Ovis aries: one gene and its partner. The protein of the gene in region 1 purifies or fractionates together with the protein of each later gene. This does not show direct contact. Links are inferred from orthologs where the notes say so. Each region holds a gene or a part of one and is shown on either strand. Other genes may lie near its edges.

The links.
Region 2: the proteins of DDX41 (region 1) and RNPS1 purify together in Homo sapiens (co-immunoprecipitation; 3 studies listed by BioGRID and IntAct, with this or other methods). This does not show direct contact. The link is inferred for Ovis aries from reciprocal best matches to the Homo sapiens genes DDX41 and RNPS1.

What each region holds. Positions count from the first base shown.
Region 1 is NC_056058.1:36,718,727-36,723,235, reverse strand, and holds the start of DDX41 (probable ATP-dependent RNA helicase DDX41), read left to right. Parts: upstream 1-1,641; 5' UTR 1,642-1,646; coding exon 1,647-1,673; intron 1,674-1,755; coding exon 1,756-1,866; intron 1,867-2,142; coding exon 2,143-2,302; intron 2,303-2,382; coding exon 2,383-2,457; intron 2,458-2,585; coding exon 2,586-2,646; intron 2,647-2,769; coding exon 2,770-2,906; intron 2,907-3,662; coding exon 3,663-3,735; intron 3,736-3,840; coding exon 3,841-3,994; intron 3,995-4,076; coding exon 4,077-4,213; intron 4,214-4,509. UniProt on the Homo sapiens protein: Multifunctional protein that participates in many aspects of cellular RNA metabolism. Plays pivotal roles in innate immune sensing and hematopoietic homeostasis.
Region 2 is NC_056077.1:2,304,410-2,308,641, forward strand, and holds the start of RNPS1 (RNA-binding protein with serine-rich domain 1), read right to left. Parts: upstream 3,029-4,232; 5' UTR 2,971-3,028; coding exon of another isoform or gene 2,969-2,970; exon of another isoform or gene 2,576-2,968; intron 168-2,575; 5' UTR 51-167; coding exon 1-50. UniProt on the Homo sapiens protein: Part of pre- and post-splicing multiprotein mRNP complexes. Auxiliary component of the splicing-dependent multiprotein exon junction complex (EJC) deposited at splice junction on mRNAs.

The DNA of each region.
Region 1 (4,509 bases):
CCAACAGCTATCAGAGAAGCCCTTTCCCACAGAAAAAGAGCTCTATGAATGGTGTTCAGGGTTGTTCAAGTCTGGCTCCTGCCTCTGGCACACTCCAGCCACACCTGATGACCTCAGTCTCCAGCGAGGTCTGGCACCCTCAGGGCTCCTAACTTTTACTCACTTGTTTCCCTCTTTGAAATAACACTTTCTTACAAATACCACCTAGTCCATCACATTCCAGCTGAGAAGCCACTTTTTTACAGTTTGCCCTTTGTGTGTGTAAGTTGCTCAGTGGTGTCCAACTCTGCGACTCCATGGACTAGCCTGACAGGTTCCTCTGTCCATGAAATTCTCCAGGCAAGAATACTGGAATGGGTTGCCAATTGCCTGCCTTTATGCTAATTCCAAAAGTGGTACTTTTTGTGTCTTAGGAGAGTTCTTAAGACCAGTTATCTATCTCTCCACCTAATCTCTTTGGGCTTCCCTGGTGGCTTATATGGTAAAGAATCTGCCTGTAATACAGGAGACCCGGGTTCAGTCCCTAGGTCCGGAAGTTCCCCAAAGAAAATGGCAACCCACTCCAGTATTCACGCCTGGAGAATTCCACGGACAGAAGAGCATGGAGGGGTACAGCCAGCAATATTGCAAATGAGGTGGATATGACTGAGCGGCTAACACTTTCACACCGCACAATGTCCAGTCCACACTCTTAACATACAAAGGAAGAGAAGAACAGCACTAACCTATCCTCTTTAAAAGTTGAAATTACCCTGACAGTCAGCCCTGCACACTCTGGGTCTACCTTTCCAGCCTTAACTCTTAACTACCCTACCCTACACAGGCCACATCTCTTTGTTCACTGAGAAACTTGGGCATGGCCAGAACTTGACTCCTGCTAGCCCCTGTATCAGGAAGCCTCTCCCTCTCCTGCCCTCCCAGCAGCTCTGAGATTCCTCACTTCCCTCTAACTTCAGATCCAGGTCTCCTCGAAGTCTTTGGTTCCCCAGTTACTCTATTACGGCATTTACAATAATAATCGTTTGCGTACATATACAGGCCCTCAGTTTAAAACCACAACCATCGTTTTGTTTATCTCGCCACTCTGAACATAGGTGTTTCACACAGATAACACCAGCAGTATTCTCAACAGTCAGCTTATTCTGCAAGCCCCATCCTGCCCTACCTGCCTTGGCCGGTGCGGGTTAATAGGGGCTGGATAGAGTCCGGGTCAGGATTCCAGCTAGCCTGGTCTCTGAGCTCCCCGGCCACGAGAGGGCGCAGTGTCCACTAGCGGGGGGGCGTGCCGAGTGACGTCACGCCCTGGGCGAGGCTGGGCAGCCGGCAAGCCTCCCTCTTCGGGAACGGCGGTTTCCACGCTTCTACCCGGCTCGGTTTGAGCTTTCAGCGCGTGCTCGAAATCCTGCAGAGTCACACAATGTCTTGCCTGAGGCTTTCGCCCTCAGCCCCGGCAACAGCTGCGTAGCCACCTACAGTGGGCGGGGACACAGCACCGCGCGACCGACGCTCAGGAGAAAATTTGTCCTTCTGCGCGATCCGGCACTCAGAGGTCGTTGCTAGGTGTCGACGTCCGCTTCCTTACATCTGATTGGATCTCATATAGGTGGGGCGGGGTTTTACTGTGGTGCGCATGCGTGCAGCAAAGGATGGCGGAATCGGAACCTGAGCGGAAGGTGGGAGAGAGGTTGGGGTCTGCGCGGGTGGAGAGCGAAGGTAAAGGCCGGGGGTCCGGGTCTGACTCGTTTGTGTCTGCAGCGGGCTCGTACCGACGAGGCGACTGCCACAGGAAGCCGCTCTGAGGCAGAGGATGAGGACGACGAGGACTACGTGCCATACGTGCCGTTGCGACAACGCCGGCAAATGCTGGTGAGGGCCGTGGGTCGCGAGAAGAGTGAGGGCAGGAGATAGGGTTTTAGCGATGCGATGGGGGGTGGCCCCGGGTCCGCGGAGTGAGGTGTCAGTACGCGGGAGCGTGGTCCCCAGGCAGACGAGGAACTGGCAATCTCATCCGAGGAGTGGGGCAGCTCTGCGCCTCCGAGCACAGGACCCTCTCCCAAAGGCCAGAATCCTGACGCAGGCCCCCGGGCCCGATGCCGCACTTTGCGTTGGGCTTGGCTCTGAGGGGCACTGGTGGAACCTCAGCTCCAGAAGCTGCTGCAGCGAAGACGCAAGGGAGCTGCGGAAGAGGAGCAGCAGGACAGCGGCAGCGAGCCCCGAGGAGATGAGGACGACATCCCGTTGGGTCCTCAGTCCAACGTCAGTCTCTTGGATCAGCACCAGCATCTCAAAGAGAAGGCTGAAGGTGGGCTGGGCAGCAGGCCGGAGGCTCAGTGTGGCGCACTGCTTTGGTGTCTCTCTGACACCTTCTGCTTCTTTTGTCAGCCCGCAAGGAGTCTGCCAAAGAGAAGCAGCTGAAGGAAGAGGAGAAGATCCTGGAGAGTGTGGCCGAAGGTCGAGGTATGGCTGTAGCCAGGGCAGAGAAGAGGTGAACTGAGCCTCCTCCCTCACCCCTAGGCATGTTCCATTTCAAGGGACCTGGCCTCTGGGAAGCAGGAGCCAGCCTTGAGCCACATCTGTTTCCTCAGCTTTGATGTCAGTGAAGGAGATGGCTAAGGGAATCACATACGACGATCCAATCAAAACTAGGTACGTCTTTCTTGACTGCAGTTGATTCCTCTTACTTGGGATGGTAGGTGGCCGAGACTGGAAGAGACACCCCAAAGCCAGGTGTGCCCAGGGGCTGTCTTGACCCTTGTCACCCACCCACAGTTGGACACCACCCCGTTATGTCCTGAGTATGTCTGAAGAGCGGCATGAACGTGTCCGGAAGAAGTACCACATCTTGGTGGAAGGCGATGGCATCCCACCTCCCATTAAGAGCTTCAAGGAAATGAAATTTCCTGCAGGTACCTGGGAGCCGGAAGCACCAGCACATTATATGCATACAGGCTGTGCTGGGTCTTTCGTTCCTGCGCACAGGCTTTCTCTAGTTGGAGCTAGCAGGAGCTACTCTGTTGCGGTGCACAGGCTTCTTGTGGAGCATAGGCTAGGCACTCAAGCTTCAGTAGTTGCAGCACGCGGGCTCAGAAGGTGCGGCGTGCAGGCTTCACTGCTTGTGGCACGCAGGCTCAGTAGTTGTGGCACGCAGGCTTTAGTTCCACAGCATGTGGAATCTTCCCACACCAGGGGTTAAACCCGCGTCCCCTGCATCAGCAGGCAGATTTTTATCCACTGTACCCCCAGGGAAGTCTGCAGTACCGCATTGTGATCATGAAACACACCACATTTTGATAGTGAAACATCTGTGGGGTTGCACCCTGGGCCCCCACCGAAATCCAGAAGCTGCTGCATCAGGTCCAGGCAGAGGAGAAGGAAGAGTTCGTCTTTATGCTTCTTTTTCAGTCATTGAGCTGTTCATACTTCGTAACCTTTGCCATTAGGGAGCTTTGGAGGGCAAGTAATGATGGCCTTAAACAGAACTGGGTGTGAATCCTGCCTCCACTTAGCCTAGAAGCCTTGGGCAAGTTTGTGTGTCTGTCTTTCTGTCTGTCTGAGTCTCATCATTTGTAACGTGAGGGGCATAGTGCCAGTTTTACAGGCGTTAGGGGGCTGTGTCTCGTATCCTGTGAAACACAAAAATGAAGCCAGGCTGTTTTCTGTAGCCATCCTGAGAGGCCTGAAGAAGAAGGGCATCCACCACCCAACACCCATTCAGATCCAGGGAATTCCCACCATGTGAGTGTGAAGCTGACAGTCCGGGGAGGAGCAGCCACTGGGTGAGAAGCAGAGTCTTTGTTTCCCACTGAGCCTGACCCTCCGGCCTCTCTTCTCTGTCACCAGTCTCTCTGGCCGCGACATGATAGGCATAGCCTTTACCGGTTCAGGCAAGACACTGGTGTTCACTTTGCCCGTCATCATGTTCTGCCTGGAACAAGAGAAAAGGTTACCTTTCTCTAAGCGTGAAGGGCCCTATGGACTCATTATCTGCCCTTCGGTAAGAGAGGCTGGCCTGGAGGGCAGGGTACACGAGGGAGGGAGCCACCTTCTGGTGCCAGCCGCTGCCCCTGTACCTGCAGCGGGAGCTGGCCCGACAAACCCACGGCATCCTGGAGTACTACTGCCGCTTGCTGCAGGAAGACAGCTCGCCACTCCTGCGCTGCGCCCTCTGCATCGGGGGCATGTCCGTCAAAGAGCAGATGGAGACCATCCGACAGTGAGTCCAAGTCACCCTGTCCCACGGGCTTCGTCAGAACCCCTTGACAAGCCAAGAGATCCTTTGCTTTAGCTACTCAGCAGAGCCTTGCAGAGGCTGCCCATAGGCTCAGCCCTCAAGGAGCCCCCAGTCTAATGAGGAGGTGGGTTGGGACAGAGGAAGGTGCTAAAGTACTCTGGGACCACAGCAGATGGAACAGGGGCATCTGGGAGGTCAAGGAGTCAGGGCATTCCAGGCGGAAGGCAGAGAGGTGGAGGGCCTGGGATGTCCAGGACAATCAGGGTTGTCCAGTGTGA
Region 2 (4,232 bases), on another chromosome or scaffold:
TTTTCTTTGACTCCTAGCAAGCTCTTCTTTTTCACTCCTGATAAATCCATTCTCCCCTTCTGAGGTGTTCAAAGCAGCAATGGCGGCCTCACTTATCTGAACTCTCACGTCTAACTTGAGTCTGAGAAACGATCCCTAATCGATTGCAATTTACGCCAAAGTGCAGCCTAATAACAAGATAAAAGGATTCACAGAGTAAATTGGCAAGGCAACAAATCTACTTTGCAGTCAAAAGCTGAGCATAGGAGCAGGCAACAAGGAACACAGTCAGCAGTGTGCATCTACCAAGCCAGGAACACTTGGGCAGGGTCCATTTCCTCAGGGGATCCTGCCCCCACAGGAGACACGTGAAGAACTGTCGGCTCAGCTTGTCTTTTTCTTAAGCAATGGTGTGGGTGGTGGGGTCCTGTTCTTTGACAGGTAGTACAATGCCCGTTTCTCACCAGTTTTGCGGTAAGCCCTCTACAGTCCTTTAGAGACACTACAGGAGCACATTGGCAGGCAGAGCAAACCCTAAGTGACAGGATTCGACCTCGCTTCACTGCTGGAATCTTTGCAGGATACATTGGATAGATATTATGACTGGAAGCAAAAACCATTTCAAGTGACTGGTACCAGTATCAAAACATTTAATAACCAAACAAATGAAACGTCCCCCATGAACATTTAAAAAGTAGTAAAGTGAGACAAAACATAACAGAAATGTAACCTGTAGAATCTAGGTGGTGGTTCTGTGACTATTTGGTGCACTAAATTTTTTCAGCTTTTCTGTATGCTCCCATTTTTGGAAATGGATGCATTCACATGTAAGGGTTTAGCTAAGTTCCAGAGCTGCAGCATGTACTCAGTAAAAGGTCATCAGTAAACACTACTCAAGAACAAACTATTAATTCATTATGTGCTCTGTTTCCTGGGGCTGTTGCCTTTAAGTATTTCCAGTGAGGTTTTGCGCAATTTGCTTGAGTTGTAGAAGCAAAGATCTCGGGATGTTAGCCTCAACTACTCCTATCTCACCTTCCTGTAAGTAACCTGGACACAGCTCACCAATCGGAATCCTGTTTCCATGTGCGCAGTGCTGCCAAAATGCTGGATAAATTTCTGACTCAAGAAAGAGTGCCCAGCTGTGGACAAACAAATAAGAGTGCACTGTTCTTTTCCAGGGCTATAAAGTCTTTTTAGACATTATGTCTTAAAATGAGAGGGCATACACACAAAAATAAGCCAAAATTAAAAAAGAAAAAAGGCACCACAGACACTCAGTAAGGTGCCTGTAACACTAAGCAACATTGTAGCGGGCTTGCTTGGACAAATAGTGAGTATAATTCAGTGCTTACGAGTCTGAAGTTCCCCTGCTTGGGGTCTGATTCAAAGCTTTGTTGTGTCTTTGTATCAATCCCTTAATCATTCCGAGCCTCAATTTCTCATCAGCATTAAGGAGAGACAGACAGTTCCTACACTTCATAGCTGTCAAGAATATAAACAAAAGTAACCGATAAAAGAGTCTTGGGGACCTAGTTAAGGCTCAACAGATGTTAGCTAATATTAGGAGAAAGGCTTTGGAGGCTTTTCTGAGGCAAACTCTTGGCTCTTAAGTCACACAGCCTCTGAATGATCAGCAGGGGTCCCTGGACTGCCCCCATTACGATCACCAAGAGTAGCACTGTCCAATAGAAAGAGAGCCAGCTACAAGAGTACTCTAAAATTTTCTTGGAGCAACGTTCCAAAAAAGCATTAGTTAACAGATGAAGTTAACTTTGAGTAATGTATTTATCTGACACACTACACCCCACACATCATCTTTTCACCAATCAGCATACAAAATCATTAATAAAATATCCATGCTTCCCCATGCTAAGCGTGTTAAACACATCAATTTGAACTAGGTACATTTCAAGTACTCAGTAGCCACGTGTGGCCAGAGGCTACCTTATTACACAGCTGACCTAGAATACATATTCCAGGGCCCCACCCCAGTCCTAAAGATCTGCTCTTTGTAGTTTGTGAAAACAAGCACCAGCGTTTATTCTTAAAACTCAATTAAGACCAGAGTAAAGGAAGGCTTTTCTGGGTGTGGCCAGAGGGCTAGAAAGCAAAGGTTGATTATGTTTACACAAGTGCAGGTAACAGGACCGTGGTTACCTCCCCCATCCTCTGGAAAGGTGCGCGTCCAACAGCCAAAAATAGGAGAGAACAATTAGTCATATCTCGCGTACATGGCGTTTCAGCTCACATCTTCGGAGCACCTTCTCCATTTACAAGTACATTTCAGGCACAATTCATGAGAGATTGGAAAAGGCCACGCCTCTGCTCCGTCGATTTAACCTTTCCGTATCCTCTCTTTTGGGGTTACCGTCAAACTGGGCTCCAAGACATTAGGGGCCGTATCCCCAAGGGCTAGCACCGGGAACGACACACAGGAACCCCGCAGACGTTCGTGGAGTCGATGTTTGAAATTAATGGCTTCAAAGGGAGGGTCAGTCGGTCACCCAGGGGCTCCCAAAACGCATCTCGTACCCACCGGCCCCGGCCCCGGCCCCGCACGCGACCTCAGCACCCCGCGTCCGCGTTCACTCACAACTCCCCAGTCCAGGAGCCGGGCCGCGGGCGCTTCCAGGGCAGGGCCCGGCGTTGCGGGCCTGGGTTTCCAGCCCGGTGAGAGGGCCCGGACGGCGGAGGCCGAGTTCCCGGCCGCTCCGAATCCCGCGGGCCTCACTGGTCCCGCTGCAGAGCCGAGGAAACGAGGGCGCCCTTCCGCCCGCCGCGGCCCCGACCACTTCCGGGCCGCAGCTTCGGCGCCTCCCACTCAGCCCGCCCCGGGCCACATTCTTTCTTCTCAAACCCGGAGCGACGCCACAGGCCCCACCGTCACCACCACGTGGCCAAGGAGCAGGCCGGCTCCACGATGCGCCCCGCCGAACATGGCGGGCGGGTCCCAAAGCTCGGATGGGGTCGGATTCCCGGTACTTACATCTTCCCGCCGCCGCGACCTCCTCCCGCTCTTCTCAGCCTCAGAGGGCGGCGCGGCTCTGGCGTCAGGATTAGGGAGCGGGAAGGAGCGGTCGTCCGGCGCGCAGCGATGACGTCGAGCCCCTCGGCCAATGGGCGCGAGCGAGAGTGTTAAAGGGCCAAGGCCTGTTTAGGAAGAGACGCGTCGGGGCGCTTACTCTGGAGGGTCGACCGGGGCTCCCCCGGGCGGGCTGCACGCCTCGTGGGGCCATCAAGCTGGCAGCTCTCTGGGGCTGCGAGGGCTACTTCGTGAGAGCAGTTTGCTGGCTGGCGCGGAGAGGGTTAAGGCGGCCGCGGGCCCGCCCCTCTCCGTGCGCATGCGCACCGGGCGGGCTGCGGGCCTGGTGGCGTCCCAGGTCGCTGGGCTCCCGACCCGGCTGCTACGTGGAGGGTCCCGGGCGGCCCGGCGGCGGGGTTGGAGAAAGGGTGCACAGGTGCTGCACGCTCTGGCGGCTTGCCGTGGGCACCCGTAGGGCGGTGGTGGCTTCGCGAGCAGGGCAGTTGCGGGGATGGGTTCGTGCAGTTACCGCTCATGGCGTGAGGGGTGATGCTGCAGGCGCAGATTCTGTGCCGGCGGAATTGTACCAGGAGGACAAGGCAGCGGGTAGTGCAGCCAGAACGAGCGGGCTGCAGAAGGCAGGGTGGAAGACAGTGTGCAGAAGGGAACGCGCCTCCGAGGCGCTGACCCTGCCGCTGAGGCCTGCAGTAGAAGGGCATGTCCGGCAGAAGGAACAAATGGTGCGAAGGCTCCTTGGAAGAAACCGGGGCTAGGAAGGTGGAGTCTAGCGTTTGGAGGAACAGAGAACCTGTGCAACATACGGCGCCAAGGCTTCATCCTGCACTGTCAGAGCCTTCTGGCAAAGGCAGGAAGCTGAGAGTTAGAGGCCCAGGACCAGGCAGGAGGCTGTCGGAGTAAAACCCGGCGCTGAGGGGGCCAGGGCTTGCGGATGTGTTTACCGCTGTGTCCCTCCCCTCTCCGAGCAGCGCCTGGCAGGCAGTCAACGTTTCGTGACTGTTAGTAGGGGGAGCGGAGAAGGCAATGGCACCCCACTCCAGTACTCTTGCCTGGAAAATCCCATGGACGGAGGAGCCTGGTGGGCCGCAGTCCATGGGGTCGCTAAGAGTCAGACACGACTGAGCGACTTCACTTTCACTTTTCTCTTTCATGCATTGGAGAAGGAAATGGCAACCCACTCCAGTGTTCTTGCCTGGAGAATCCCAGGGAC